Lonchura striata: one gene and its partner. The protein of the gene in region 1 binds, or shares a complex with, the protein of each later gene. Links are inferred from orthologs where the notes say so. Each region holds a gene or a part of one and is shown on either strand. Other genes may lie near its edges. The genes, in order: TRAPPC9 and TRAPPC12.

Region 1 (16,141 bases):
TTATCAGCATGGTTGCACTTTCTCAGTAATAATGTTTGCCCTGCAATTGGCTCGTGATAAGGACTTTTAGTTTTTTAACAAAACCAATCGTACTTTGGGCAGAAGGTAATATTTATATAGGTACCTCAAGATTAAAAAAAAAAAAGAGCCTGAATATGCTGCATTTTGTTTCTTTAACATTTTTCATGTAGCATTTGTTTGCTTTTCTGGTTTTTTAGGAGATGACTTAGCTACCTGTTTGCTTTGGGGGACACCAGTAGTGTTTTAGCCGTTGTTTTCTCTGGATCTCACAGAATGTAGTATCCTGCCTTGGGATCATGCAGGAGTTTGGGGTGGAATGTGCCCTGCAGTGTGCACACACGGGGAGGGGGACCATGGAAATTTGCTTTATAGACTTCAGAAAAGGAGGAAAAGGATACTATATTCCTAAAACAGACAATACATGTTCCTAATTCTTAATTATGGTTTGCGGGGTTTTTTTGGCTCGTTAAGCTTTCTTGACTCTTTTCTCAAATACGAGTGTGGAAAGGAGCATTTGATTATTGGGGGCACATAGTGACCAAACCTGCCCCACTGGTGGGAGTTTTGGGGGTGATTCCCCAAATCCATGGGTAAGAGCAGTGCCCCACGTCAGAGCAGGACCCTCCTGCTCTGCCTGCTCCCTACTGCAGGTCCACCCTCTACTCCTTCATTTCCGAGTCAGTGAAAATCTAAAAATGTGCAGAGATGGGGAATTTTTTTGGAGAACTGTTGAAGGAAGCTTCAAAGGCTGTGAAATTGAGCATTTATTGTCATGTTTTTAAGCTTAGGTGGGTCCTTTTCCAAGTTTGTTTTACAGCTTGCAAGGTAAAATAGTTTGCACTACTTTTGCAATAAACTCATGAAAAACCTAACAGGTTCTGTTCTGGTTTCTTACTGTATATATACAACTAATACTAAAGATTTAGCATAGTGTTTTTCACCTCAAAACATAAGACTTGTAACAAGCTCAAAATGCTGTAATTCCTGACAAAATAATGATGTGAATGATATTTTATAAAGTTATTTTGTATGGTGTCGATTTTGTTTTGCCTCATAGTATGTCAATAAAATAAAATTCCTCATCTTTACAAGGTATTGTTTGATGTCTTTTCATTTAATATTTGGCCATTTTTGCAATTATTTGTGCACAATGAGACTCTGCCAAAATCTCTCATCCATTGCTCTCCTTTCCATTTCTGCCCTTGTTTGTTTGGATGTTTCCCTGTGCTTCCACCCTCTCCGTGCCCAGCCAGAGACAATCCGTGCTGCTTTAACTGCTTACAAGTTATAATCCTGGAACTGTTTTTGGAAGATTAACATTTTGGAAACCACTTGCCTGAATTTTTTATTATTTTTTGAGTGAATCCCTACAGTGATTCATTTTTAAATGAAGAAAATGTAGCACCTGGTGGTAACTATAAAGCATCCAACAGAATTCCAAGGATGCCAAGGAGCTTCCTTTGGGAGCCCAACCCTACAAACACAGATTGGTTTTACTCAGTAATACAAAATACTGTCAGAGCTGTTTCTTCCTTTTATTTTTTCCCTCGTGTTTTGAAACACCACTTTGAATTGGATGAGATTTTGCTCTGTGTCAGGCTCTTGGAGAAAACAAAAAACCCTTCGCTGATTTGATGGCAACAAGCTTTGGCAGCTGCAGGGCCTCGGAGAGGGCTGTGGCAAATTTTGACAGCTCTGAAGTCCCCATTGAGGATTCTGGCTGAATGAATCCAGAAGGGTGTGCACATTCTTCTGGACTCAGGAATTCACAGGATATGTTCATGGTCCCACAGGAAACTTCTAAGAGGGATGAAAAGCAGTGATTTACACTTAGTAACCATAGTTCTTTTGTCATGTCCTTTGAGCAGCATTGGCTGGGGTGGGGAAGGGTCTCACAAGCTGGTGTTGTTGGGGGAAAAAGATAGAAACGTGTCTGTACTAATAATAATTAATCCAAAAGTGTCCCCTGGCCTGCGTTCCACTGCCTAAAATCCCGCAACACCTTAAACAGGTCAAGCAAGATACTTGGTCACTTTTGAGGAAGTTCCTTTTAAATGATGCAGACGCAAAGGGAAAATAGGATTAAAAAGCTCAAGGGTTGAGGTACAGACTCAAGGTCACTGAAAAGTTGCTGTGATGAGCAAAACAGATGTGACTGGAGGGAAAATTATATAATTTACTGACAAATTAGGTGGAATTAGGTGGTGAGAAGCCAAGTCAAAAATTAAAAAGTTTTCCAACCCTTTCCCAGTCCCTTCTCCCCTTCCCTCTCCTGCCTTCCCGCCCCAGGGTGCAGGGGTGGGGATGGGGCTGTGGTCAGAGCCCTGCCAAGGCTGTTTCAGGATGTTCCTCTCTCTGGTTGTGACCCATCCATGGTTCAGGTATTTGATTGTTGCCCCCATCCCTGTTTCTGCTAGAGAGTCACTGTGCAATTCTGTGGTGGTGGCTTTTTTTGCTTCACAAAAAATTGCCAGCCCCTCCCCTCAAACACCATTCCACACTGTTTTCCACACAGCTCCATGCACTTTTAATAATATTAAAAAAAAAAAAAAAAAAAAAAAAAAAGCAAAAAAGCACAAACCAGCTCTTGGAACAATAGTTTAGTTCTGCCTTTACCCATTTGGGAATTTCCCCAGGGATCCAGCCCCACTCAGCACTCACTGCAGAATTCATGGTACAGCATGATTTTCATTTATGGCAACTTCAGGAACATTTTTTACAGTGCAGCATCCTCTGATCTGTTAAAATAGCAGGAGCATTTCTGGTATGGCTCAGAAGCTCTGCCAGTCCCTGACCCTACCTGCCTAAGCTCCACTTGGCTTTCTAAGAACATGGAATGTGCTGGATTGTGGATATGCTGGAGCTCCCGGCTAAGTTTTAAAAGAAGCTGAGCATGGTTGTGCCTTCAACCCAAGAGCAGCTGTTCAGCTATTCACTTCTAGTAAGTCTTTACCATACCCTCCAAATTAGGGTGTTGCTTGAGACAAATTCCTGGCTGACTTGCTGCCCAACTTTTTTGGAATGGGAGGTTCTTATTACCTGTTAACATTCCTGTGCCTACCTGGGGCATTCTTCACCCCTGGGGACAGATCTTGGTCACTTTTCTCTCTCAGACATGGCCACACTGCCCGTGTGTGACTGAAACTGGAAAGAATTGCAGGAAGTTTCTGCATCCATTGTCAAGTTTTCATACAAAACATTTATTTGAAAAAGTTGCATGTAAAGTTCTACACAGGACGGTTGCCATTTCTGTAGTAAAAAAAAAGAAAAGCAAACCAAAACCACATAAAAAAATCATCTCTGTCATGCACATGGTAAAGGAGCTGCTCTTTCTCAAGAACCCACAATTAACAGACTTCAATGTGCATTTTGGCAAGAGAAACTGCAGAAGTGGAGTTCACTCAAGAAAAGGGTTCTGGATGCACATATGTACTTAATTTTCTACCCCATTTACCATCACAGCTACAGAACCACCATTAGCTCTTGGGATAGGATCTCCTCTCCCATTTGGGTGCCCAAATGGCTGTTTTTACAGACCTTTTTAATGCACTTGGTCCACTTTTGGAGCTTTTGAATTGAAAGCTGCCTGTAAGAAATTTTAAATTTGGGTAATGATTGTCAGACAAAGTAATTTCAAATCATCTGACCAAGCTCTGCTGGCAGGTTTGCAGTGTCTCTTCCTACCCCACCATGTTTCGGAGGGAAGAATTCCATTCTCCAACGAGTATAAAGTTCAATTTCTTAACTTCTTAAAGCAAAAGCAGATGGCTCAGTGTATAAATACATCCAGCATCTGGATTCTCAGTCACAAAAATAACATGCTTTATACAATAGAAAATGGATCAACTATGAAACAATTCTCCATTGGCCTTAAGATCCAACAGCAGCACCAACACCTTCATCTTCATCCTGTTCCTCCTCAGCCTCATCATCGTCTTCCCTCATTTCTCCATCTCGCTTCTCTTTTTCAAGCATTTTTAGGTATTTGCTAGCTAGGATCTTCTTTGGCAAGATATCTGAAAGGCAGAATTGTTGCTTTTTTAGTCAATTTGAATATGTGTATTGCCTCATGAATACTGTTCCATCAAAATCACTAAAGAAATTAAGACAAAAAGAAATATTAATACTTTTAACAAACCTTAGGTGAATAACCAGGTAAGTCAGCCTGACCCACACACTGTAAGCTGTAAGAGTAGGAGGGAGTTACCCACTTACAGTACAAGTAACCAAAGATAAGGACTCTATTTTGTGACTGATTACTGGCACCTTTTAGTGTCTGCTGATGTGAATTATTTGATGTAAAACAGAGCCCAACTGCCTTAGATCCAATAAGCCATTGATATAAAATCCAAGTATCAGTAAAAACGTGTCTGTGTGTGTATCTAGAAGCATAGAGGGACCAATATGATGAAGTTTCTTTTCTCAAAACTTATAGAATCCTATGTGTCATTTTTGTCCACATAACTCCTCACCTAAAGATGTGCAATGATCTTCTTTCACAAGCTGAAAGCTTTCAGATGGAACTGCTGGAATTTAGGAAATGCTTAAGGCAATATCCTGAGAACTGTATACAGTATGATTGTAATTTAGAGACAGCAGAAAAATCCCTATTCACAGAGAAATGTTTTTAGGAAAGTAGTGTTACAGTGCGCTTGGGCTATGCTTTTCCCCATTTCCAGGGACCCCTGTGACTCTGATCAGGTAAGTGTCCACTCCTTCCCGCCCTGACAGGGTTGGCTGAGAGGCAGAGAAGCCCTCCCTGCCCAGAGCCTAGATAAACCCATAACTCTGTTTGCTCGCTTTCCCCCTGGACCTCATGGAATAAAGAAGCTGGACACCACATCGGGGTGAGAGTCTCTTTTGAATCTTTGCCCATCTCCTGATGTTCCTCCCCTCAAGGCCTCGTATCTCTGGGCTAGCCTAATAAGTTGGGGCTGAGAGGGGCAGAAGCATCAAGTAGTTAACGAGTTCCAGTTGAATGCTAACCAAGAGATAAACGACCTGTAGGAGAACTGGGTCCTCACAAAACAGAGCATAAAGAGCAAGATTTCACTTTCCAAAGTAGACACAGGATTTACCCTTGTGTTATCAATACCTGCAAGGAACTGAAAGGTCTCACACTCTTCTGCTGTATGAGACAGGTCACTGTAAGTCAAAGCATTCTTCTCTTTCCCTCTGCCGTGTTTGTAGGAGTATGTAGCCAAATATTGAACAAAAAGCTCCTAAAAAATTAAAACAAAACTGCGTAGTCAGACTAAGTATGCACACATATCTTTGATTCCCGTCTACAGGCAGAAGCACCATATTTAACTTCACGTACACTGGGCACTCAGTGCACAGACTCATTACCTTTCAGTACCTGAAGGCAGTCTACAGGAAAGATGGAGAGAGAATATTTACAAGGGCATGTAGTGACAGGACAAGGGGGAATGGCATCAAACTGGCAGAAAGTAGGTTTAGATCAGTTAATAGGAAGAAATCCTTCCCTCTGAGGGTGCTGAGGCCCTGGCACAGGTTGCTCGGAGAAGCTGCGGCCGCCCCATCCCTGGAGCCGTCCAAGGCCAGGCTGGACGGAGCTCGGAGCACCCTGGGACAGTGTAAAGTGTCCCTGGCCGTGGCAGGGCTGTGAAATAGATGTTCTTTAAGGTTCCTTCGCACACAAGCCATTCTATGAGTCCAGACTCGGGCAGCTTGAGGCCAGCTCCGTCTCGGGCGCGGACAGAGAAGGGAAGCGGGAGCCGGGCCGCGGCAGCGCTCCGCAGCGGCGGCCCCGGCCGGGCACGGGGAGGCGCGGGGCCCGAGGGCAGGGCAGGGCGAGCGGTACCGTGGCCTTGGCGGTGAGGAACAGCGCGTCCTGGTTGATGCTGGAGACCTCCGGGGAGCTCTTCATGATGACGCGGATCCGCGACAGGGGCAGCGACACCAGACGGTTCTCGCTGCCGCTCAGCCGCGCCGCCGCCATCTCAGCCCGTCCCCGCGGCGGCGAGGGCGCGGCCCGCCGGGAGCTGTAGGCGGCGGAGCCGGGACTGCGGATCCCTGCAGCTCCGGGACTGCAGCTCCCTGCAGTTCCGGGACTACAGCTCCCTGCAGCTCCGGGACTACAGCTCCCTGCAGCTCCCTACAGCTCCCTACAGCTCCGGGACTGCAGCTCCCTGCAGCTCCGGGACTACAGATCCCTGCAGCACCGGGACTACAGATCCCTACAGCTCCGGGACTACAGATCCCTGCAGCATCGGGACTACAGCTCCCTGCAGCACCGGGACTACAGATCCCTGCAGCACCGGGACTACAGATCCCTACAGCTCCGGGACTACAGATCCCTGCAGCTCCCTACAGCTCCCTACAGCTCCGGGACTACAGCTCCCTGGAGCTACGGGACTACAGCTCCCTACAGCTCCCTACATCTCCCCGCAATACAGGGACCCTCCTCCAGCCGGGACTACAGCTCCCTACATCTCCCCGCAATACAGGGACCCTTCTCCAGCCGGGACTACAGCTCCCTACAGCTCCCTACATCTCCCGGCAATACAGGGACGCGCCCGCCGCAGCCCCCGGCTCCCCCGGCTCTCTCCTCCCCGCCGCGGGCGGACGGCGGCCCCGGGGGTGCCCGGGCGCGCTGAGGCTCCGGCGGCTGCGAGTCCCTTCATAGAATCACAGAATTAAGTAGGCTGGAAAAGGTCTCTGAGATCATCGAGTCCAACCTGTGACCGATCGCCAGGTGGTTGTAGAGTGATAAGGTCACACCCCCGAGCCTCCTTTTCTCCAGGCTCAACAGCCCCAGCTCGCTCGGCTGCTCCTCATCAGACTTGTGCTCCAGCCCCTTCAGCAGCTTTGTGTCCCATCTCTGGACCTGCTCCAGCACCTCAATGTCCTTCCTAAATTGATGGGCCCAGAACTGGACACAGCACTCGAGGTGTGGCCTCCCCAGTGCCCAGCACAGAGGGACAGTCACTGCCCTGGTCCTGCTGGCCACACTAGTGCTGACATGGAAAGCCAGGAGGCCACTGGGCTCCTTGCCAACCTGGGCACACCCTGGCTCACGTTCACCTGCTGTCAACCAGCACTTCCAGGTCCTTTTCCACCAGGTCATTTTGTGCTGAGCAGCTCCAGTGCTTTCCAGTCACTCTTCCCACCTGTGTGGATTCCTGCTGTCCCAGCACAGGCGGGAGCAGCCTTGGGGCTTCCCCTTCCTCACCTCTCACCGTGGCTCCTCAGCTCCAGGCTGGCACAGGAGGGTGGGGAGCTTGTTCTCAATGCCAACTGGGCATCTCGATCTGTGTGTATGCCAGGATTACAGGCCACTGCCTACAAAGTTGTTAACCCAAACTGCAATTACAGGCTGCTCAACACCTCTGCCGCTGTAGTACAGTCCCAGGGAATGTGTCTGGTCATCCTGACACTTGTCAGAGCTGGGGGGGAGGTGTGGAGGGTACGTGTAAACTATGAAGTGATGATGGGGCTGCTTGTAACATGCTTGTGGATGGGGTTTTGATGCTGGGAGTGTTTGCTCCAGAAGTTTGCCTGTGCCTGTTTGGGTAAGAGCTGCAGGTTGTGTGAGCGCTTCCAGAAGTAATGACACATCATTTGCATCAATTCATTAATGGTTTCAATCAAAAAGTTTCCAATATGCTTTATAAACATCATGCCTGATGGTTTGTATTGGTAAGAAATCTGCTAAGGCCACTAAACTATCTAAATATGAGAGAGAAAAGCAGGAGCTTTTTCAGAATACACAATAATAATTCACATGGAATTTAGGGGAGAAAGAACTGTACCCATGAAGAATCATTAAATGGAAAACACAGCAAATTTGTTGACTGAATGTCACTATCTGATACAGAATTTGCCCAGTACATAAGGCCAAGGCTATAGATTATCCTGATTTATTAATAAAATACAGCACCATGAGCAGCTGGAAGTACAAGGATAACAACAGTATGTGATAAATTTCAAAATTACTGTATTTGGGGACATAATTTATAGTTAGCTATTGCAGATAATCAGTATATTTTAGGCTGTATAATTCTCTTGAGATTACATCTTCTGTGAGGCCACTGTGTGTACGTTATATCTGAAAGGAAGCACAAATATCTTGGGATGCTGCCTGGATGTCTGGAAGGATTGGTTTCTTTCTCGATCCTTACTGTCTTGTGACATCTTGTGGAGACAGCTGACATTACTCCAGCAGTGAATTTTTAAAAAATACTACTGCAGCCTTTCATGAGAAAGAAATTTCAATATACAAATGAACCCTCATCAAACTACCAGGATTTCTGAGGGTATTGAGCTTGGTGGTGGGAAGGCACAGGTGAAGGAGCTCTGAGCTCCTCAGAGCCGTTCTTTCCCCCTCTGCCAGCTGAGAGCTTGGCCAGGTGTAGTTGCCTCTGTGAGTCTCTGTCTCCCAGAGAAGGGACAACGGGAGCAGGAGCTGCCCTGGCAGGAGAAGAGAGGCTGTGATTGACTGGGCTGAGCACTCCCCACCCCTCTCTGGCCCTAAGGCTGTGCTGCTCTTGGGCTTGGTCAGCTTCTGTCTGAGACTCTGAGGCCAGCTTGTACTGCCATCTCTCCAGCTCCTTTCCCTCTGGGAAATGTTGTCATTTTTTTGGAAGATAACCAAAGGTCAAGGCTAAAGCTTGTTCAGTTCCTTTTATGCTGTTATTTTTCTTCACAACTCCCAGACTGGGGAAACGCAAGAGAAGCAGAGAGACTTGCCAGGAGACCACATCTTGCGCCACAGTGGCTGAGGAGACCTGAAAAGAGGTTGTGGCCAGGTGAAGGTTAATCTCTTCTTCTAAGTAATAAGTGACAGTACAAGAGGAAATAGCTTCAAATGTGCCAGGGCAGGTTTAGATTGGATATTAAGAAAATTTTCTCCATCAAAAGGGTTGTCAAGCATTCATACCATCAGCCTAGGGAAGTGGTTGAATCACCATCCCATGAGGGATGTAAAAGCCATGTGGATGGGACTCTTAGGGACATGGTTTAGGGGTGGCCTTGGCAGTACTAGGTGTGACTTGATGATATTAAGGGTCTTTTCCAACCTAAATGATTTTATGATTCTACCTAAATGCAAATTTTTCAAACACTGTGAGTTCTGTTGAAGTTATTTGGTTGGCGTGCCACTGCTTTAAGTCATGACATGGCCCCTTATGAAAGGCTGCAATAAGGTGTTCATGGACCCTTCTCCAGGCTGAGCAACCCAAACTCTCTCAGGCTGATTCCACAGGAGGGGCACTTCAGCCTTCTGATTTCCATGGCTTCCTCTGGACCTGCTCCAAGAAATTTCTTGTGTGGGGATTCCAGACCTGGATGAAGCATTACAGGTGAGGTCTCACCAGAGTGGAGCAGAGGGGCAGAATCCCCTGCCTCACTGCTGCCCATGCTGTGGGATCAACCCAGGACATGTTTGGCTTTCTGGATGCAAGTGCACACACGGCCAGCTCATGTCCAGCCTCTCATCCACCAGCACCCCCAAGTCCTTCTTGGTGGGGCTGCTCTCAATCCACTTATTCCCTCCCCAGCCTGTATTGATACCAGGGTTTGGTCATCCAGGTGCAGCATCTTACACTTTGCCTCACTGAACATCATTAAGTTTCCCACATCCTCCACCAGAAATTCACCTGAACTCTCGTACAAGGCTTATAGTTCGGGAGTTTTTGTACTTCCAGAGTTTTCAGACTTTTGCCATTTAAGCTGCATGACTGAGAAATCCTCTCAGAGGAAGATCCCCCTCTACTCGAGGAGGCTCAGGGAGGACTTTGTCACTCTTTACAACTACCTCAAAGGAACTCGTAGAGAGCTGGGGCCAGCATCTTTTGCTGTGCCAAGGGGGTGAGGACCAGAGAAAATGGACTGCAGCTGAGAGAGGGGAGGTGCAGGTTAGACGTTAGAAAAAAAAGGTTTTTTTACTGTTCGGGTGGTCAGGCATTGGAATACACTGCCCAGGGTGGTGGTGGAATCACCATTCCTGTAAGGGTTTAAGAGGCATCTGAGTCTGGCAATGTGGTTTAGGGGTTACAGTGGCAGAGCTGGGCTGACAGCTGGACTGGATGATTCTATGACACCACACCAACTTCGGGATTTGGGAATGCCAGGAAGGCTCACTTCGTTCAAAGGGCCAGCTAGAGCCCTTCAGGTTTCCATACACAGTCGGCTGAAATTCACCAGGTGAATCAGTCACCCGTCCACTCCTGTTTTGCGTTCCTCGCGTTCACAGGCAGAGGCTTCCAGTCCCCGCGGAAGCCCCGGGGGCAGCACCGCGGACGGCAGCGGGGAACGGCCCCGCTCCCCTCAGGACTCCCCCGCCATGGCCCGCCGCGCATGCGGGGCGGAGCCGAGCGGCCATTGCCGTCAGTTCCGGCGGCGGCGGGGCGGCTCCGCTCCCGCTGTGGGTGCCGCTCCCCGCCCGGCAGCCGCGTCCCCCGTCCCGGCTGTGAGTGCCGCTTCCCCCTGTCCTAGAGCGGTTCCTGTCCCGGCTGTGAGTGCCCCCTCCCCGGTTACCGCCAGCCCCCGCTGCCCACATAGCGCCTCCTGCCCGGGCTGTCAGTGCCCCTTCCCCGGTTACCTCCGGCAGCCGCTGCCCCAGAGCCGCTGCCCCTGACGGCCTCAGCGGGGTGTGCGCCTCTGCCGCGCCTCCGCTCCGCTTCGCTCTGCTGCAGTTCATTTTCCCTGCTGGACTTGGCCCAAAGTGCCGTATGCCCGGGGACGGGGAAAGGGGGGAGCTCCCACCCGCTGCGGCCTCTGCTGGGGGAGGTGTCAGGACGGTGCTGCTGCCCCGGGAATGGGGCTGCAGCCCGGGAATGGGGCTGCACCTCGGGAATGGGGCTGCACCTTGGGAATGGGGCTGCAGCCCGGGAATGGGGCTGCACCTTGGGAATGGGGCGGTACCTTGGGAATGGGGCTGCACCTTGGGAATGGGGCTGCACCTCGGGAATGGGGCTGCAGCCCGGGAATGGGGCTGCACCTCGGGAATGGGGCTGCAGCCCGGGAATGGGGCTGCACCTTGGGAATGGGGCTGCACCTTGGGAATGGGGCTGCGCCTTGGGAATGGGGCTGCAGCTCGGGAATGGGGCTGCGCCTTGGGAATGGGGCTGCACCTCGGGAATGGGGCTGCAGCCCGGGAATGGGGCTGCAGGGCAGAGCCGGGCAGTGCGGTGGGAAAAGGGAGCTACGGTCCATAGTTCTGAGGAGCCCGTTTCCTCAAGCATCTATTCCTCTGTCTCATGTGTCCCCATGGACTCGGGACTCGTCGTTCTGCTTGTAAAACCAATGGTGTCAAGTCTAAAGATGGGCTGCGTTTGTTTTTTTTTTTTTTTTTTTTTTTTTTTTTTTTCTTTTGTCTGTGTGTTTGTTTTTGTGAAGGTTTGGGGTATTGTTTATGTTTTTTTTGGTGGTATTTACGGTTCAGGGCTTTGGAGCTGGAGTTCACGACGAAGGGGATCTCTGGTGTCCCGGAGGTCTCAGACATGAAAGGACTCGGGGGATGTGCATCTTCATTCAAGGCTCAGCTGCAGTAATCGATTTTAGAGAGCTCAGGAGAAAAGGGATTCTAAATACTTAAATGTAAAGGCAGAAAACAATGCCTGATCCTTTCCTATGTGTGTTTTGATAAAGCAAGACTTTGCTTTTCCTCAAAAATAGGTGTTCTGGTCCTAATTTTTCTCTGTTTGGCCATGTGTGAGTACTGACAGCTGTGTAAAGTTTGGTGATCCTGATTTGGTGCCTGTTTACATCTCACCTCATGCAATTTTGGATATTTCACCAAGAAAATGGGACTGAAGAGCCTGAGTCTGATAGGCTCTCCTGAACTGGTATTTCTGCCCAGTTGCTGTGGTAGAGACTTGTGTGAGCTGGCTTGTGTAGCTGCACAGGGAGTGAGATTCACTTGGAAAGCACTTATTTACAGATTTTTGTTTGAAAAGTGACTAAAAGTTCTCCTTGTGTACAGTGTAACGTCAGGAGGTTGCATGGTTGAAGATTTAGTAAAATAATGAAACAAACAGTGATACCGTAACACATAAATTCAGGCTGCAGAAGTGTTTAGCATCAAAGCCCTGGTTTGATTCAACAACCCTGTGTACTTCTGAAGGTTAAATAATAATATGCGTTTTTCTTTCACTAGCCTGCAGTTGATGCAAAATGAGTGTTCCTGACTACATGCAGTGTGCTGAGGATCATCAGACCCTCCTGGTCGTCGTTCAGCCCATTGGCATTGTACCTGAAGAGAGCTTTTTCAGGATCTACAAGCGGATTTCAGCCGTGAGCCAGGTTAACGTGCGCGACTCGCAGCGAGTGCTCTACATCCGATACAGGCACCATTATCCCCCAGAGAACAACGAGTGGGGGGATTTTCAGACACACCGCAAAGTCGTGGGGCTGATCACTATCACAGAGTGCTCTTCAGCAAAGGAATGGCCTCAGACTTTTGAAAAATTCCATCTTCAGAAGGAAATGTATGGCTCTACTCTCTATGATTCCCGGCTGTTTGTCTTTGGGCTTCAAGGAGAGATTGCAGAGCAGCCCCGCACAGATGTGGCGTTTTATCCCAGTTATGATGAGTGTGACACTGTGGAGAAGAGAATAGAAGATTTTATTGAGTCTCTCTTCATAGTGCTGGAGTCCAAGCGTCTTGACAGAGCCACTGATAAGTCCGGAGACAAGATCCCCCTGCTCTGTGTTCCTTTTGAGAAGAAGGATTTTGTAGGTCTGGACACCGATAGTAGGTAAGCAGCTACTTTTGTCAGCTCTTAAAAAAACACATCTGTGACACTTGCCAGCCTTTAGGATAAGCCTATTAGAAAGGACAAGGTGAGCCTTGTTCCAACAGGGGTTGTGCTCTGATCTTTCTGTGTTTTCTTGCTGTAGTTTTAAGGAAATCTAACATGTAGTCTCACTGTAGTTGATGTTCTGAGCTTGTTTTTATATATACATTTAATTGATGAAGCTCATCAAATAGCAGGAAGAAGTCACAGGAGTGGTTTGACAGGTTCTGCTGTAATAAGACTTTTTGCTGGAAGACTTCCAATGTTTTACAGATATACTGTATTAATAAAAAAAATCAGCATCAATGAAACTATTTTTATGTAATGTTGAGTAGTATTTGACTAATCATACTTACTGTATTTTTTCCCTTTAAACCTCTGTCTACTTTTTCATTCTATGAGATAGTGCCTGTTTATTTTGATGACAAAGTCCAGCATCTTTCCCTGTCCTTCTTTGTTTTATGTAATTATTTGTTATTGCTTTTTACCTGTCTTGTTTTGCTACCTGTTTGGTTTTTCGTAGGTTAGAGTTTTAGCCCCCCATTTTTCTTCCTCCTCATTTGCATACTCATCTGTCAGATTTGAGTGTTGCATAGTTCCTGTGCAAGGGATAAGTAATTCTGGCTTGATAGCTACAGGCAGGTGCAAAATCTGTTTGACTCTGCTGTTTGCAGTCAAATCCATGGGATGGAAGCATCCACCTTTTGTCCTGGCAGAGGTGGGGAAGTCCAAAGAAAACTCACACTATGTGTGTAAATAGTGGTGTTCATATTTGTGTTGTACTGTAGGGATGCCAGCAGAGGTTTCTACTGTGTGTAAAAGCTCAGAGGAGTCCAGGCAATTTTGTGAAGGTTTTAGATCAAATTAATCAGCTCTGCCTCTGTAGTTGGTCCTGCCTTGGAAACAGGAAGAAAGAATTCCAGCTAATTAGTTTGAAGTCTTTTGTTAAATTCCCTGTGGTGGCTTGAAGGACCATCAGTACCCCAGTGCCCTGCACCTCTTTGATGAGCACTTGAACTGGCAGTGACTTGTTGGTTCCTGTTTGTCCCTGAACTGTTATTCAGTTATCAATATGAATTACTGTGTTATTACTTTTTGCTTGTGGGTGGCAAAGTTGAGAAGACTGGACAAGCCTTTTTACAATCTTGTCTTTTACTCAGTTTGAAAGAAATTTGGCTGAACGTAATCAAATTTTCCTCTTCCAGATAGGTAGAAAATTATAATTGTTGGCCAAGAATCTCCAAATCAAAATGAATTCTGCTGTTCAGTTGTGTCTTATAAAAAATTGCGTTTTGGAAATTGCTTTCTTAGATGAATGAATTACTTCTGAGCAATGGCTGTGTTGTTACTAGTGGGAAATACTCCTTGTGAAGTTCTGAGCTGGTGGGGAGCTGGAGTGACAGCAGAATGTGTGCCCACACATCTCCAAGCAGGTGTTTGAAAGAGATTCCGTGTGGTGCTTTAGCTCTTTGCAGAATGGAAGGTGTGTGACCCTGTGTGTAGACACAGGGGTTTATCCAGAGTTAATCACTGGCTCAGCTCTGCACACACCCTTGCTGGGAGGTTTGAATATCAAACAGATTTTCAGTAGGTCTGGATCAATGGATGTACTTGAAATGTTTGCTGCACCAAACTGCTCAAGGAGAAGGTGTTAAATATTCTAATTTTTCAGTTCCATAGTAAGAAAGTTCTTCAGTTCTATTTTGCTGTGGAGTTAGTACTTCTGATTGTTATAATACTTAGGATTTATACGTTAAAACTTCAGAAAGCTAAATGAAAATATATTTCCAGCATCTCTGCACAGGAGCCTTTCTAGGTACCTTTAATGTAGCCTGATGCATCTCTGCCCTCTGTTCTAAAGCAGAAGCTCAAGTCCATTAAATAAGGTTGAACTCGGATCAGTTTACTAAACTAACTTAGACTTTCAAGCCAAAGCCTTTGGATGTGAGCTGGTGATAATAACATTCCATTTTATTATTTGTGAGTTTTTTGGTGCTTGGTTTGCAATTCACAGGATTTTATTTTAGCACATTCCCTTCTGTAGTGACAGATTGAATAATTAAGGGAAGGCACTCCATGCCAGGGAGAAACAGGGCTAGGAAGGACCTTCCTCAGTAGAGACCAGTTTCTGTTTTTGCAGGATTGGATGTGTAATGTTGTTCAGGGAGGGCTCAAGGTTGTTTGAATGCAGGAAGTGGGTACATCTGGTAGAACAGCTTTTGCTACTTTGTTTTGAGTCTGTCAGCATCATGATTTTACAGAAAGAAATAAAAACATGATGATACTTAGATATTGAGGCAAATGAAACAGCTTTTTCTAGAACAGATGGAAATTTCTAAAGGGTTAAAGGCAAAGAAAGTCCCTTGATCTTTTCTATATACTTTCTGTCTATTTGCAAATTTTGTATATCATGTACCCTGACATCCTAGTCAGTGTGTAATCAATTATTTAAAACCACAAATGTTCTCTATTAAATAGATGGCGGAGAAGACACACTCTGTTCTTGTAACAGAGGGTGTGTCTCTGCTGCTGTAGTTGTGGATACCTACTTAGGATAAATAAACATGTCTTTTCCTCTATCTTCTAAAATTGAAGTTAAATGGCAGTGTGTAGCAAAAGTATAATTAAATGTGTGGTGCAACTGTAACCTGGAGCTATTGGGATGATAGATTGAGGGAAAATATGTTAAGAATTTACATGCACTACATAATTCTGATCACTTGATTTGGAGACTAATTAAAACTATTGAACATAATTTGTATCTTAAAAGATGCTCTTCAAGTATTTTATGGTCAAATATTAACGTTAATACTTATGTGATGATCAGAGCTTTATATATAAACCTGATCATCTCCCTCACTCAGTTAGAAGACTTTCATTAGCTTGGATGCATGATAATTGCCATGGAAGTAAACTGATTGGCTTCTTTTAAGATGCAAAGTTCGTAAATTAGGAAGAGGAGTTATTATTTCAAATAGGGTAATTAATGGGAAAAGTGAGGATGATCTTTGTCTTTTGCAGGTTATTTGTGTAATGAGCAGGAGAAGCACATTCCCAGAGCTGACTGAGATGACAACATACACAAACTCACTGAAGTTTGTGTGCAGAAGAACTTTTTTTAGCTGGTAGAAAACTATATGTTTGAAACATAATGGGTTATGTCCTAAAATGAAAAGTTGTCCTGTTAAAGGGACATTGTAGGACTGAGAGGCTTGGTTTGATTCCTGGAGCATTCAGCCAAAAGAGATTTTGGCAAATTGATTTATTTTTTCTTTCTGTTTCTTCAGCTGTAAATTGGATAAAATATTTATGTGGTCACAGGACTGCTGAGGATAGTTGAAAAAGTTTCTGAAATCAGT
Region 2 (15,999 bases), on another chromosome or scaffold:
TGAGAAAGGACATAGCTGATTTCCAGTAATGAATATTGAAAAATCCAGTTTATGAAGCATCATGTACACTGAACTGTGCATGTATCAGGAGTCCCATTAGAAGCAATTAAGGCTTAAAGACTTTTGCTTTACTTTGCATCTCTTCAGGGATTTAAAGATAGCTCCAGAGCATCTATATATTCTAATTAACAAAAATATGGCAGTTTTTTTACTAAACCAATCTGAGTTAGTCATACAATTTAGAAGAGAGATATGATTTTCGGAAAATACACAAAGCTTTCATTCACCTCCCTTTCCTACCAGTGTCATTACATTCTACCCACAGAATCCTTGAACTTGACTATCAATGCTCATGCTCAAGAGGGGGAGAAAGGAAAAGAGATGATATTGGAAAAATGTTACAAAAAGTGGTAAAAATTACAACTGACATTTGATGGAAAAATTACCTGATTATCATATCTAAGAGACTGTGTTCCAACCAAAAATCTTATTGCATCTGTTTCTGCTGTCTGAGGTGTTAAAGCTCGTGCCTAGGGAAGAAGAAAGCCATTAGAAAAGTACAATTAATAAAATCCATTAATTTCAGCAAAAATCTTGAAACTTGTATATCAATTGTCATTTTAAGCATTACATTCTTACAAACGGCAGATTTTCTTGGCCTTTATCCCCATTTTGCTTAATACATTTTTTTGTGCAATTTCTCATACTTGTGAGGATTGAGGAATACAGGTGCTAAATACATTACCTGATCTTCATTAGAACAGGGATGACATTAAATGCAGCATCTCTCCCAAACTATTTTCCTTTATCATCTGAAAAAACTCCACAGAGCAGTGGACAATATTTAACTATTGTTAAAAAAACAGCATGGTATCCAAGGAAGAGGCAAGAGTTTTCACACCACTCAGGTTGAGTATGCCTGTATAAAAATTAATTTTTTTCTCATCATTAGCCACCAATTTTAGAACCAAATTAAAAACCAAGCCTCCTTTTTTCTGCTGCAGCCCATTAGAGATAAGAAGTGTCTGAATCATGAGAGTTTTTTTTTTAATTTTATCTTTAAAACTTTTGTCACAATGTTATTTCTTTGTTATGTTAATGGCATTGCTAGAGTCTGCCTTGCTTCTTCAAGTTACACCAACCACAGTCTTGGAAGAAGCAAAACCAAGCAGTTAAGGGCCATGGGAGACACTGATAAATAAAGCACAGCTTGAACTAAAGCCACAATCACTAGGTTTGCACTAGTCATTAGTAGAGACTCTCAGATAATTTTGAGTAAATGGAAGGTAAATGAATACTTAAAGGCATTTTTAGCAACTATATATTGTGAGGAATAGCTGCTGTTTCTCCATGCAAGAGATACCTTAATAATATTGTTTAATATTATTTATTTAATCTAAAAATAAATCTCTGCAATTCACATCCTATTTGGCATAGCTGAGATCTCTCCAGACACTAAGGCAGTATTTCAAGCCAATACCGATGAAGGATTCAGGTGACTGCTGAATGGCCCTTCTCACTGCCATCCTGTTGTGCAGCTTGTTACCCTTGGATTCAGGAAGACTTCAATATCATTCTATTTAAAACTTATTTTCAAATTACTATTTAGAAGATGTCTAAAAGCTTGGAAGGGAATATCTGGAATATATTAATCCCAATATCCAAACTTAGAGCAATTTAATTCTAGAAAAGCAACTTAAAGATATTTGACTTTTCTGAAATAAAGCAAAGCCATGCAAGGCATTGTCCGGCAATAGCAGTAAAGAAAAATTAATTTTTCTGAATCATCTCTGGACTTGTATAGAGCAGATACTTCCTTCCTAGAATCTGAAATGTGCAACTTAAACAGTGTAATATTTTGTGTAAGATAGAGCATAAAAAGTTTAAAAATGCCACAAGCTCCTAAGTAACAAGCTACTAACCTATACCTACATTTATAATATCTATGTAGTGGGGGAAAACACTCATGCAGATCAAAGATCAGTGGGAATCCATACCAATATGCTTTACTTTCTTATTTATGCAGCACTAATCTACAAGTCTAGAGTGCTCCTGATTGACAGACACAACTTTAGTCCATCAAGATGATTGCAGAAAAGCTTTTGTCTTTAACAGAATTTACATTTGCAGATCTTTGCAAGCATTTATTTTCATTTGCAAGCATTCATTCATTAAAATACCTGCTTTGAATTATTTTGAGAAAACACTAGAAATGAGCCAACATCTATGTATCTTCTTCAATCAAAGAAGCTTCTGTTGTTTTTATACATCAAAGAGAAGTAGAGACCTCCAGGATCTTTAATAAAATAAAGAAATAAAAGAGGTTTCCAGCCCTTTCAAAGCTTTTCAAGTAGGTCTGGCTGTTTTCAAAACTGCATAAAGTTGGACACAAAGTGCCCAAAATAAAATTATGTAAATACATAGCAACATTTATATCATCAGCTTTTCTAACTCTTCCTTAAAATAATTTTCCATTTTTCAGAAAGAAAAAAAAAAAAGGGCATAAGAAAAAAAATATTTAGACACATTTCATAAGAAGAAACATTATTATTTATTCCCTGACAAAATAAACCCTGCAACATCCATACACCAGACACAGAATTCAAACTCATGAAGCCTTCATAAATTAGGAAGACTCCTATTCATAATATCAATATTAGCACAATAGATTTCCATGTGTCACAAAAATGTGTGGTTTTGTCTACTCTGAGTTACTTTGAGAGAAAAAGAAGTTCTTTCAACAGCTGAAGACACCGAGTAATCCTTGTAATGAACAATACAGCTGAATCTGGAGTGCTTTCAAGATCAAGGAAAGTGCCTTAACTCTGTCATCTTGCCAGAGCAAGTTGCAAATAGAACCTTTCATAAAGCATCCTGCCTTATGACTACAGCTCATAGATAGAAAATAAGCAAAAAAGTATAGTAAAATGAATATTGATTAATCTAAACCAGTGGAAATTATTATTTTTCTAAGTCTGCACCTACAGAACACAGAACTGCATATAGCCCAAAAAGACTTTAATACCAGGCTTATGTGGAAAGGGATTTTCCACAATGGCACATAGTGATGGGATAAGGGAGAATGGCCTTAAGCTGAAGCAAGGCAGGTTTAGATTGGATATTAAAAAAAAAAAAAAATTATTACTGTGAGAATGGTAAGGCACTGAACAGATTGACCAGAGAGGTTGTGGACTCCCCATCCCTGGAGTTCAAGACCCAGCTGGACTGAGCTCTGAATAACCTGGTCTAGTTGAAGGTGCCCCTGCCCATGGCTGAGAGAGGAACTGGAGGATCTTTAAGGTCTGTTCTAACCCAAACCACTTTAGGATTCTACCCAAGATATTAAAGTATTACTTACTAAAAAACTGGCATAATGCTTAGAAAGTAACCAGAATACACATCTGAAAGACATAAGCAGCAAGTTAACAAGTAATCTTTACACATGCTCTCAACATCCCACCTAACTGATAGTGCTAGACAATGCAACAATCTATGCAATTACACCATTTCTTTTTTAAAGAAGGCCTAACTCTAGGAAAAAAATACTAGCAAGCAAAGTTTGAAACATTGTGAACCACAAAAAAAATTTTGGCTACATGTCCAAATTTCAGATTTATCAACAGCCCTATGAGGAAATGTGCATAGTTTAAAGCAAGAGTTTTACAAAACAGGACAACAACTGAACTGCAAATCCACTACAGTAAATACATATGCAAAGGACATTTAAAACCCTAGAACACAAGCACGACAGACAGCTGTATCAAAGCAAAAGAAACAATGATCATTGTAGCAGAATGCAGGTAAGACTGACTGGAGACTGGGCATCATGTCTATGCCTACACTATGCTCAGTGTGATGCTGGGCACAGATCACCTTCTACCTTGCCCTTGACAATTTAGGCCACCTGCAGAAAAATAAAAACCTTGGATAAAAAGAAATAGATTAGAGTCTATTGTACTTGACAGCATCAAGAGATGATCCAGAAGAACACAATGACAAACCTCAAAAGGGGTAAAGAAGGTTGGTTTAAACTAAGTGCATTATGGAACTGCAATGCATTGATTCTCTACACGTTGTTCATAATTTCTTCTTAAAAACTTTCACTCCTCAACATCTTTTGAAATACCAGCCAAATGCACAAAGTCGTGGTTTGGTTTCTTGTTTGTTTTGTTAATTTGACTGTTACTATTTAGCGCATTAATAGACAAACAAAAAAGTACTTGTTCAACAAATGTTTTTGTGCTGATGCATTGCACTGATTTGTTATTAACAAACAAGAAAACAAACAGACCTCAACATTTGAATATTTGTATTATATTTAATATAAGGAAAAAATATTCTTCAAACCAGGCATCATTTGAAATTCATACAATCAATTTGTACTACCAAATTGTGAACTTAAAATGCAAAACGTAAGGATACAGTATTTGGCTTGCAATCCCTAAATCTGAATTTAAAGTTATTTGACCATCTGCTTATGCTGAAAACCAGGACTAGTGTACTGCTACTTGGGGTGAGGAGCTGGATTTGCTGATGCCTCATTCTGGAGGCAGAATACAAATTCTCTGCTCCTCTAGACAAGCCCCAGTCTGCTAATGTCATGAATGTTATTTTTGCCTTCTGGCACAATTTCAATTTTCAAGTACTCTTTGATTTTTACATAGGTAAGACAGCCTTGTTTCTCCCACCACAGTAGGAGGCTCTCTCAGTGACTCTAATAAGCTGCAGTGACTATCAGTGAAAAGGTTGGCAGCACACATGCCCAGGTTACCTTCAATGCTCTCAGACAGCTGTTTTCCTGAAGTCTTTCACAGCACAAGAATTCCCACTACCAACATATTTAGTGCATTGACCCTATTCTAAAGCTTGACAGAATCTGTAAACCCTAATAGCGATGAATGCAATCCATACACAAACACCTGCACAGCACAGTCATCCTAAGAAAACTCATTCACTTCTCATGAACAATCATCATGTAAAAGTTCCTTCAAGTTCACCTCACTGTATCTTTATATTGTCATTTTTCTGTACCACACCTAACACTAGGAAGATCCTACTAATTGCTTAAGGGTCCTAAAAATACTTTCCAACTGTTTCACCTCATGCATTATGAAGATCTTTGGGGGATTAGTAAAGAGAGCTTTGCCACTTTAGCTACTTTTGTTCCTCTAGTAACACTTTAAACCACAAAGGCTTAAAATATACAGGAATGGCACTCATGAGGCAAGTAATCTTAGAGAAGAAAGAGAATTGAAAGAAAAGCTAGGAATTTTAGTAAGACATTATTAGGCAGTTTCTTAAACTGATTCAATTTTCAAAGTCTTCCAAAGACATTGCTAAAACTGGACCAAAGTAATTAAGTACATTCTGCTTAGGCTGTTCTCTCTGAGCCCACAGGAGAACACAAAAGCTTCCCCCAGGGAAGAGAACACCACCGCCCATAGGAGCTATAGGCTCTGCACTCCCATACTGGGAACAGAGCCAAGCCTGAAAGCCAGGACAGCTTTCCCTGGGGAGCTCACAAGCAACACACATTTTCCAGGGAAGACCCCTTTTACCACTTCTAGTAAATCTACACCTGGCTTTTACTCCATCACAGGTAAATCAGCTGAGCTAGTCTCAATACATACTGATGACAGTAGGTGTACACACATTGGTCACGCGTCTTCCACAGTCTATTTCAGTTGGTATTTTGCTTTAAGTTTCTTACTCTAAGAAAACACATTTGGCTTTAGGGAAATTAAGTTTCATCTTATTCTTGCAAGCAGGCAAGTTCTAAAAAATCAAGTGTCTATTCAGATTCATAAAACCTGTTAACATATAATAGACAACACAAAATGGGCCAAGTATCACTTATTCAAGAAGCACAACGATCACAATGCAGAACACTAACTCTATCAAAGCATCAGCACACTTTTTTCAAGCCTGCTTCAGGGTGCTGCTGGAGCTGCCCATGGGCACTATGGCCCTGTACTCAGCCAGGAAGCTTTCTGTGGTCCTTGCCTCCTGCTCACTGTCCTTTTTCCTCACATGTCTATTTACTTTTGCCATGCAACATACAGTAGGAGTATCCAGCATGCTGAAATTCAGCTCAGTGTTGTGGTGTCCCCAAAACTCATTAAATGTGCTAAACACGTGCTCCAAAATGATCACTCTCTGGCATAAGTTATGTTCCTCTTCCTCATCTCATAATGCTGGCTGGCTTCTGCATGCTTTTAAACAAGCCAGATGTAGGCTTGAGCCAAATGCCTATCCCAGAAAGCACCTCTTCCCACTGCTCATTTCCAGGGATATAAATGTTATCTAGTCAATCCTAAACTAAGGCAAACATGGTATTTTGAGAGCTTCAGTGGTGCTTTCACACCTGTTCAAAACATCACTGTTTAAACCCTCAGGAAAAAACATGGGGAAAATTGTGACTCCCTGAAAATGAAAGCCAATTCAACATGGGGTAGACATACCATGTATTTCAGGTTAGAGAATAAAGCCCAGGTCAACTCTACATGGGACAAGAACAACATCACTTCACTGACAAAATACAGCACGCAGCAATATTCCTGGGACTTCATTCATTACATTCTTATCATTGAGGATATTGATTATTTCTACTAAGATTCCTTTTAGAAGGACCACCTTGGTATTGAAATGTTCTGCAGCTGCTGCTGTTGCTTGGTATTCACCATCATGAGCCACAGTCACATCACTCAGTACCTCAATTCAAGCAGTATCTCACATTTTCATTCACCACCCACCGTAATCTTCTCATTTTCACTGCAGTCGGACAAGCAGAGCAACCATGGTGAGATTGTCTTTTTAAAAGTCACAAAAAGTGTCATTCACACATCATTTGCATGTCTGTACAATGTTCATATTATGTACAGACACACCCAAGAGATTAAAAAAAGAGAAAAATGTATTTGGTCATTATTCTAAGTTACCTTATATATGTCAATACATCAGAACATTCTGTACATCAAAATGAACAGAAACCATGCAGAAATAATGTTAATTGGTGGATAGTGCCTAGGAAGAATCAGCTCTATGTTCCTATAAAACATGGTCACTTAAATCAGATAAAAAGCACATTTACACAATTACACTTTCTCCAGTGGCCAAAGATGGACTTTTACTGACTGCTAGAGCCCAAATATAAGAAGCAAAGCCAACATTTTCAAAACTTGGCTGAAAAATTAGTCTGAAGAGATGCTTTCAGACTAAAAGCAATAATTGAGATGATACAGCTAACCATTATTATCTAGTGACACAGAAGAAATTATGATTAAAAATAATCATCTTTCTTGTTAGACCTTGAGATGGAAGTTGGAAAACCAGATCAGTTTTAGGTTACAGTTTCTATATTAGTGTCTCCATTTTCAAAAAGTACAGAGATGCAGTTTGTTTTAAAGACACACGGGGAGTTAATGGAGATCAGCAACAGAGCCTTCATCTCTACGCTCCCCTTCTGACTTACACATAAATCATCTCTTCTTTCCTCACCCTCTCCCTAAGTGATCTGTATTAACAGTAATTTCCTTTTATTACAGCCACTTTATTTATGCATTTGCTTTATCCTCCTGCCAGACAACTCCAACAAGTTACATACTTCACAGGAGAGAAGAAGTGTGTAGCAGATATATGGTATGGGAGGGAGCAGGATACACAGGTCCATGGAGGTCCCAGACAACACACACTAGTTTTCCCAAATTCCTGGAAGATAGATTATATGTGACTTACTAGAAATGAGATATGAATTTTATTAAGTACAGGATATATATTCTCTTCTGCAAAAGAGATTTAAGTATAAGTTTCATTAATTTTGAAGTACAAGTTACAGCCATCTCAAGCCAAACACATAATGCAATCATATACAAAATTTACTAATGAAGTCTATTAGTATAGTCAGAACTACAGAGCACACTATTCAGTACACTGGACATTTGTTACAAAGAACCTGTGTATGTTACTTTTCACAAATACTTTAGCAAAGGTGCCAAAAGAAAAAAAAAAAGTGCACGTGTAGATACTTCTGTTACTACATCTACTGTAGAACGAACTGCTTTGTTAGAAGGTGCTGGTTTTTTTCTCAGGTATTACTGCTAGAATGGCTAGTAATGATAAGCCAGCCACAACACATAACAGCTAAATAATGCCCTTGGGCAAAGGAGGAGTGAATTAGGGTCCCTCTCACTCTGCTTTCCCAGAACTTACAGAATCCTCATTAAACACAACACCTGTGTTCCTCTAAGAAGAGGATCAGTAAGTTTCTGAGTTAGACAGTTCCATTTCCTTACAGCCATAAAATACAGATGTGATGAACAGATTTGTCACATGGGACAAATGCACATATACGCATAGTACAGGGAGGGCCCATAAATTTCACACAGATTTATGGTAGGGTATAACCAACTAAAATTTGCAACTTACTAGAAACAAGTTTCGTGTTTTCCTTCAGAAAAGCAATTTTTAATTTTTTTTTCTGACAAGGCAGAATCAGGGATTTCTTGAACAGTGCTTTGGCACCAGTGCAGAGCCAGGCAAAGCCTTTTGCAGAGGCGGAGTGGGAGCGCTGCCCGGGCAGGAGCCCCGGCACCGCGGGGAGAAGGAGCCTGGCCGGGCCCTGCCCGCCCTGAGAACAGCGCTTGAGGCGGAACGACTCCCGCCCGCCGGCCAGCCACCCTCAACACCCAACGCGGCCGCCAAACGCCACCAAAAGCCACCAAAAGCCACCAAACGCCACCGCAGCCCGGCGGTGCCCGTGGCGCCCCGGTCCCCGCTCGGGGAGCAGGGAGGACGCCGGTCCCCCGGGCGGGCTCTCCTCTGCCCCTCTACACACACCCGGCGCCGCCGCCAGCGCCTTCTCGAAGGCAGCACCGGTACCTGCCAACCTTCCCTAAACCTCCCTCTCGCTCACCTGGAACTCCAGCCCGTAAATCACCGGCGCGTCGTCCTCCATCGCGACGCCCCCAGCCCAGCCAGGCACCCGCCGTCGCGGCCGCTGCTTTCTGACCCTCGGCGCGGCCCGTCGCCGGCCGCTTCCGCAGCTGCGCTGGCGCGGCCCCGCCCGGCCCGGCCCGAGCGCAGGCGCAGTGCGGGCGGAGCGGCGCCGGACGCGGCGGCGGCGCGGAGGTGACGGGACGGGACGAAATAGAATGGAATAGAGTGGAATGGAATAGAATTAAACGGAGCGGCCGCGCGGCCTGAGGGGCGTCCGGGTGGGCGGGTGCTCACGGGGCTGTGCCAGGAGGAGGCCGTGAGGGAGGCCGGGCTCGCCCCCGCCGCGGGTGTCCGGGCCGGGGCTGCGGGGGCTTGGCCGGCCCGTGCCCGGCAGCTGCGCTGCTGGCCGCCGTCAGCCCACGCTTCGCCTGGCTGGGAGCGGGACCGAGCGGTCCTTGCCGCCGGGAAGGCAAGTGTTGAGTCACTGGAACAGGTTGCCCGGGGAAGCTGGGGAGGTCCCAAACCTGGAGGAGTTTAAGGCCAGGTGGGATGGGGCTCTGAGCAACCTGGTCTAATGGAAGGTGTCCCTACCCATGGTAGGGGGTTTGGAATCAGATGATCTTGTAAGGTCTCCTTCCAAACCATTCTCTGGTACCATTCTATGATACTGTTTCAAGTGGGAGGCATTTGGTCTTCAATCTCAATAGTTTTACGACTTGTAGAAAAGATAAAGAGAAAATATTTTCAGGATTGATTCTGTGATTAAACGTTAAATGAAAAATGTCAAAGGGGAGATGTGAAATAGTGAAATTACTGTTTTTTAAAGCAAGAATTTCACTATTTGTATGGTACTTAGGAGTTTTGCTGTGACACCTGAACAATATGCAAGCAATAAAACTAATTCTTATTTGGTGGTGTCTTCTCCTTTTTCAGTTACTATGGAGAATAATGAAAGCAATGCTAAGGATGCAAAGAGCACCTCAGGTGAAGATGACAGCAGAGACATAGTTCAGCAGAAAACTCAGGATGAAGTTCTCTTTCATGAGGAAACCATTGATCTTGGTGGTGATGAATTTGAGTCTGAAGGAAATGAAACTATATCAGAGGATTCAAATAATTTTGTAGATAAACTTAATGAACAAATGATGGAGAGTGTCATTATTTCAGATTCCCCAAACAACAGTGAAGATGACACAGGTGAACTTGGTTGTCTTCAGGAAATAGTAGACCAAATGGAAAATAAAGATAATCAAAAAACACAAACAGAAGTGGATAAAGAAGAGTTTTTAAGTAATGAGAGTGAAACAGAACATGAAGAAACTCCTAAAGACATTTCTGAGATTGGAATGGATGATCAGGCATCTTTAAAGGAAGACTCAATTCAGGAAGTAGTCAAGGAGGAACCAAAGTTGGGAAACAACGTTCCTGTAGAAACAAAACCAAATAATGATGAGAGCACACCTGAAGACCAAATGTTGTCACCCAGTACTACCAAACCATCTTCTGAGGCTGAGCCCATTCCCGTGTGCACCATCTTCAGCCAAGCAAACAATGCTAGTTCCCAGCCACAGTTGTTCCTACCTGATGGTTTTGAGCCTCAGATGGTGAAATCTCCCAGCTTTAGTAGTATAATAGAGACTCCAGTGAAGTATAATCCACAGGTGGTTCAACCCAGTCCTAGTCTAAGCAAGTTCTTTGGTGACACTGTTAACACTAATACTTTAGCCTCTGATTTTTTTGATTCATTTACAACATCCAATTTTATTTCTGTTAGTAATCCCAGTGCAAGCTCTTCAGTTCCAGAACAAATGTCCTCTCTTTCTAATGGTGGAGATGGTTCTTCATCTAACCCTACTTTCCCTGTGCAAAATGGGAGACCTGAAACAGGTGGTCCCCCATCATCTCTAGAAATAACTCAATCCCCCAAGCCATTCTCACAAATCCAAGCTGTTTTTGCTGGGAGTGATGACCCATTTGCCACAGCCTTAAATATGAGTGAACTAGATAGAAGAAATGATGCTTGGATTCCTAGCGAGGAGACAAAAAATGTTCTCATTTCAGTTGCCACACAACAATACAGCACCGTGTTCATAGACAAGGAGAATCTCACCATGCCTGGATTAAAATTTGATAATATCCAGGTAAGAGTATATTACTGTATCTTCCTCTGTGATTATATTTTAAAAATAGTGTAGAAGATCTGTCCAATAATCTGTATGTCATAGTACTTCATATTGTTGCTGATGTATGTATTACTTCAATTCTAATTAGAAAATGCAGTATCACTGCTGCCTTGTACAGGAAGAGGCTAAATCCAGATCTCATTTATTCATCATGACATTGTGCATTGAAAACAAGTGTTGACAGTTTCTGTAGAAACCAAAGCTGTTTGTATTTTAAAGTACTTTATTTCTGGTCCTCTGAGTAAGATAATACATTTGGAATATATACACATCTCTAAGCTGTGCTAAAGTGTCTAAGCAGACAGCTTTGTGGAATTCCCTGTTGTGATTGAGTGGGAAATAATTTCACTCATGTTCACAGTGGTCTGAACAATGTTGACACTGACTGAAATGGCATCATTTCTATCTTCCCTAAGCAATGGAAATGTATAACCTCTAAGAAAGATTGAGTGCTGCAGCAAGCTGCTAGGAAGGGATAACCCCAAAATTAAAAGAAAAAAGACTAGAGGAGATGACAAAGCAAACAATATAGTAGTGAAAAGTAATTTTTTGTCTTCTGTCAATTTCTAACAGATGAGAAGGCATAAAGCATTTTTTTTTCAGAATATGGGAAATTTTACTCACACATATCCAGGATTTCTCAGTAGTTTTATCTTGGCTGCTCAGCCAGGCTAACCATCATGATGTTTTGGTTTTTTTCTTGAAACGGGCTAATCCTACTCTTTGGTATCTATGCCTCTGGATAATAGAATTGTTGTGTAGATAGATGGTGTTTAGAGTTTGGATGCTTTAATCCTTAATTATGCATAACAAAGACCATCAGTCAATAGTCATATACAAGCAGAGAGCAGTCTGCAATAACTTGATAATCTGTAGTAGCTATCAGAAGAGTTTCTGGGGTGAATCAGGTCCAGACTTATAGATGAATTATTCGAAAAATCTTGGGTTTCTGTCACAAGCAATAAATACCAGACATACTCCACACTGCTGCTGCCTCTTGGGTTTGCTTTATCTTAAAACATAAGCTTGCTATCACAGAGCCAGATAATTAGCGTGAAACAAAACACTGTAAGAGGAAGCTAGCTATTCCTCCTCCAGTTGTACCCAAAATATCTATTAGACCTTGATGAGTTATTCCAGTGTGTACTCTTTCTCTCCTGACAGCTAATCAGACAGATGGAGTGATCCCTTCTCCAGTCTCCAAGGATGATGGCCTCCTTTTTGCAAGCTTCCTTTTTTACAATAGTTCTCTTTCACCTTCCTCAGCGCAGTCAGGGATTAAAGGCTTGTTTCTGCTATTTATTTCCTAAATCTGGGCAAGTGCAAAGATGCAGATCTACCATTTAGTATATAATTGAAGGGAGGATGTTTGACAATGTCCGTATGATGTATTTCTATGAAGACTGATGTAAAATCATCAGTGCAATTAAAGGAAATCCTAATGCTTTCTTCATTGTTTAAGAATTATAAGAGTTTTCTAGACATGTTCACAGGGACAAGTTCTGAAGTGCTTTATGTTTAGAAAACTTTCCTCACTTTCAGTTACTGCTTTTTTGTGGTCTGAGTGCACGCCTTGACTGATTTGACATCTCCTAGTTTGGTATCATTGTTCCATAGTATTGCAAATTGTGCATTTAACTGTAACTGTAATTGTAGAGTGCTTGAAGTGTCAACTGAAATATTGTGGGAGGTATATTTTCAATGTTAAAAGTAACTTCCAACAAGGGTCATTACAGCTTTGGTAATAATAGTTTGCTAATGATGAATGTTAATGCAAGATGTTAAACGAAGCTACATGCAGTGGACAGAGAGGTTGGTTGAAAATGCATTTGCAGTGAGTGAACCTTAAGTGTGCTTCAGGGAAGGACTGAAATTTCACATTATATGCATTGATGAGCTTGGGACTTTATTTTTTGCCCTGCTTGCTCAGAAAATGTATTGTAAGACAAGTCTTACGTAGATAAATCACACCAAGAAAAATACGGAATGATTTTTATTTCAGCTGCATGTTACCTTTTGACAATCATTTAAAAAAGCATTGTTTTTTAAACTTACATTGGGTTGTGTATGGTAAAGATTGTCTGTAGCAGTGCTCTCAAAGTGACAGAAAAATCTGCTGCTTTTTATAGTCTTTCCATTACACCTTTTTTCATGAGTTCCTCTCTTCTGTCAGTGTCCTTTGTTTCATTACATTCATTTTTACTGTTTCCTACACCAAAGGACAGTTGGATCAAAAGTACTGTTAGGGGGATTTAAAAAATCTTCTGTATTTATGTCATTTTGCTCACACTCTCTTTTCTTAATTCTTTGGGCTCTTCTGTCAGGCAGATCAGTTGTTTATTTGTAGGATAAGTGACATCGAGGTAAAAAATTTCCATGTAGTGAAACAGTTGTTCTCATTCCTTAAGAAGCTAGACAGAAAACACAAATGTATTTCCCATCACTGTCCATGGAGAAAGTTGAAACACTTAATATCAATTGTCTTTGTCATAGCTAAGCTCTGCTGTTATTATATGCAGTTCAGTCTCTTTAGGCAGCTATTGAGCTCATATAACCCAGTTTCTCTGACTGATGACTGCAGCTAGTTCTTTTGAAATTTGAAACACTTGTTGAAGGGTTGCTGTTTACTTTGGTTTATGATCTCTCAAAGTTTATTTTTGGTGGATATTTAAGGCTCACTTACTGTGTGTGCATGTTTATTTTGATCAATAGATTGCACCTTTCAATGTTAACATACATTACAAAAAATTTCTGGTTTTTATAAGATCTTTGAGGAATATTTTATTTTTAAGATTTGTGAATCATCTTATAAATGATCTTCTACAATAGTAGAAGAAGCAAATGAACCTGAATGTGTCAGTGCTAACTGAAACCTATCCATGGAAGAAAAAATATAGCAAATTATATAGAGTAAATGTAGAAGTTTTCATTCCAATGCTGTATATACACATGCAGTTATATTTATTACACATGTAACATAACATTTTATTTTGCTGAAATAATGTTTTAAATAGTCTTGTTATCTGTTTTCTTTTTCTGTTCCATGAACACCAAGGGAGATGCAGTAAAAGACCTAATGCTTCGCTTCTTGGGGGAACAGGCTGCAGTGAAGAGACAAGTTTTAAATGCCAACTCTGTAGAGCAGTCATTTGTAGGCTTGAAACAGCTAATTGTAAGTAACAATCATCATATAATATATATTTAATATATATTTAATATTGTTTCTCTCAAGATAATTGGGAGCTACTGACTGAGGAGAAACTGGGAAAAAACCTGTGTATTAGTCTGTTCCTGACCCTTCAATAGTACTAACCAAACTACAATAGCCTTTAATGGGAATGATGCTGGGGTTTAACTATTTGGGTTTAAATCACATAGTAAACATTTTTTTACATGCAAAAGTTACAAAAATTAATTTTAAGTGACTGTGAGTTTTTATGTAATGGTTACAAAACAGATTTTAATCATGTTTTTGTTAACCTGTGTATGTGCTTAAGTTTTCACCTGAATGTTGTACAAAAAGACATACAAGTTGCAAATGGCAAGCCAAACTGATATGATAATTTCAACTGTCTGATCTTTTACTTCAGTGCAGAAAACTAAAGCAAATTACTTCCAGAAGAAAGCTGAACTTAATCCTTTCAATAATGTAAATATTTCTGTTCTGAAAATAGTTGTCTAGCAGCCTTGTAAATCTTGCCTTGTTCCTTTAAGAACTGTGTAAAATTCATTACTATTATATGACTGAGCCTTAATCTGATGACATAACAAGATGGTTTGGATTTACTTTATTTCTTAAAAAATGGATGAAAAATTACTAAAGAAAAGTAGTGAGGAATTATCAGGACAAGACTTTATTTAATATTTAACATCTTCTAATTTGATTGTGTGACTTTACATGTAATGCTCCAAAAGAGATAACCTTTTTTGTCATGTTAGGAGTAGTCTAGGGGGTCTCAGCAAACACTGTTAAAAGGAATTCAGAGGTAATTTTAGAAACTAAATATGAAAAAACAGATTGTGATCTCCACCCTAGACACGTGTTTTTCTGGTTTTTCTGTTTTACTTGACACGTTTTTCAGTGTTTTACTTGACTTGGGAGGGGAAAATAATCTTATGCAAAAGTCTTTTACACATCAGTGTCTTAAGTAGGAAAAACTTTTTTTTCCATGCTTACTTTCCATCTTCTGGAAGAGAATTTTTGATGTGTGGGAAATGCCTTTCTATTTAGCCTGGTAGTGGTGTCTATGCGAGATGTTCTTCTATGCTGCAGACTGTCTTGTACCATAATTAATATGCTGCTGCAGACAACTGTTTTTGATTTGAGCCTGCTCTTAAGCATCAGAAGAGTAGTGTTAAAGCTTTAGACTCAAGGCAGTGAAGCTAAGAGGCAGTCTGCAGCTGTAGGATATTTTGTTACTTATGGCACTTACCCTTACTTATGTTTTGGTTTTTTTTTTTTTTTTAATTGCCTTATTTAGAACAGTGGGTTTTTTTTATAAAATAGAAACCATTCAGGTAGAACTTAGAATGTTCTTTGGTTTACAAGGCTTTCAGTCATTAGCTGTTGGCTGGTTTTGAGTATGCAAAATAACTTTCTTGGTGTCATTTGTAGAACTAATTTCTTTTTATGATGAGAATTAGTTGGTCTTTTTTTGTTCCCTTGCAAACATTGCATTTCTTGTTAAAGTCTAAATGTGGAAAATTTATTTCTGATTGACTACAGTCTTTAAATTTAAAGGGATTTTTGACTTAAAAACATTAAAATCCTATGCTAGATGATATAAACTAAAAAGATATATGCTTTTTACATACATAATAGGCCAGAATGACATATAATAGCTACTCTGTTGCTAGTCACAAAATTTACTTTCTTTATGAG

The links.
Region 2: TRAPPC9 (region 1) and TRAPPC12 share a complex: the UniProt entries of both Homo sapiens proteins name them as parts of the multisubunit TRAPP (transport protein particle) complex. The link is inferred for Lonchura striata from reciprocal best matches to the Homo sapiens genes TRAPPC9 and TRAPPC12.

Annotation. Positions count from the first base shown.
Region 1 is NC_134603.1:5,092,212-5,108,352, forward strand, and holds the start of TRAPPC9 (trafficking protein particle complex subunit 9), read left to right. Parts: upstream 1-10,364; 5' UTR 10,365-10,453; exon of another isoform or gene 10,454-10,498; intron 10,499-12,142; 5' UTR 12,143-12,159; coding exon 12,160-12,743; intron 12,744-16,141. Other genes in the region: CHRAC1 (chromatin accessibility complex protein 1), read right to left, coding at 3,892-4,037, 5,117-5,243, 5,846-5,983. UniProt on the Homo sapiens protein: Functions as an activator of NF-kappa-B through increased phosphorylation of the IKK complex. May function in neuronal cells differentiation. May play a role in vesicular transport from endoplasmic reticulum to Golgi.
Region 2 is NC_134605.1:96,161,112-96,177,110, forward strand, and holds the start of TRAPPC12 (trafficking protein particle complex subunit 12), read left to right. Parts: upstream 1-9,073; 5' UTR 9,074-9,126; intron 9,127-9,276; exon of another isoform or gene 9,277-9,403; intron 9,404-9,867; 5' UTR 9,868-9,872; coding exon 9,873-11,075; intron 11,076-14,172; coding exon 14,173-14,289; intron 14,290-15,999. Other genes in the region: EIPR1 (EARP and GARP complex-interacting protein 1), read right to left, coding at 447-530, 8,912-8,953. UniProt on the Homo sapiens protein: Component of the TRAPP complex, which is involved in endoplasmic reticulum to Golgi apparatus trafficking at a very early stage.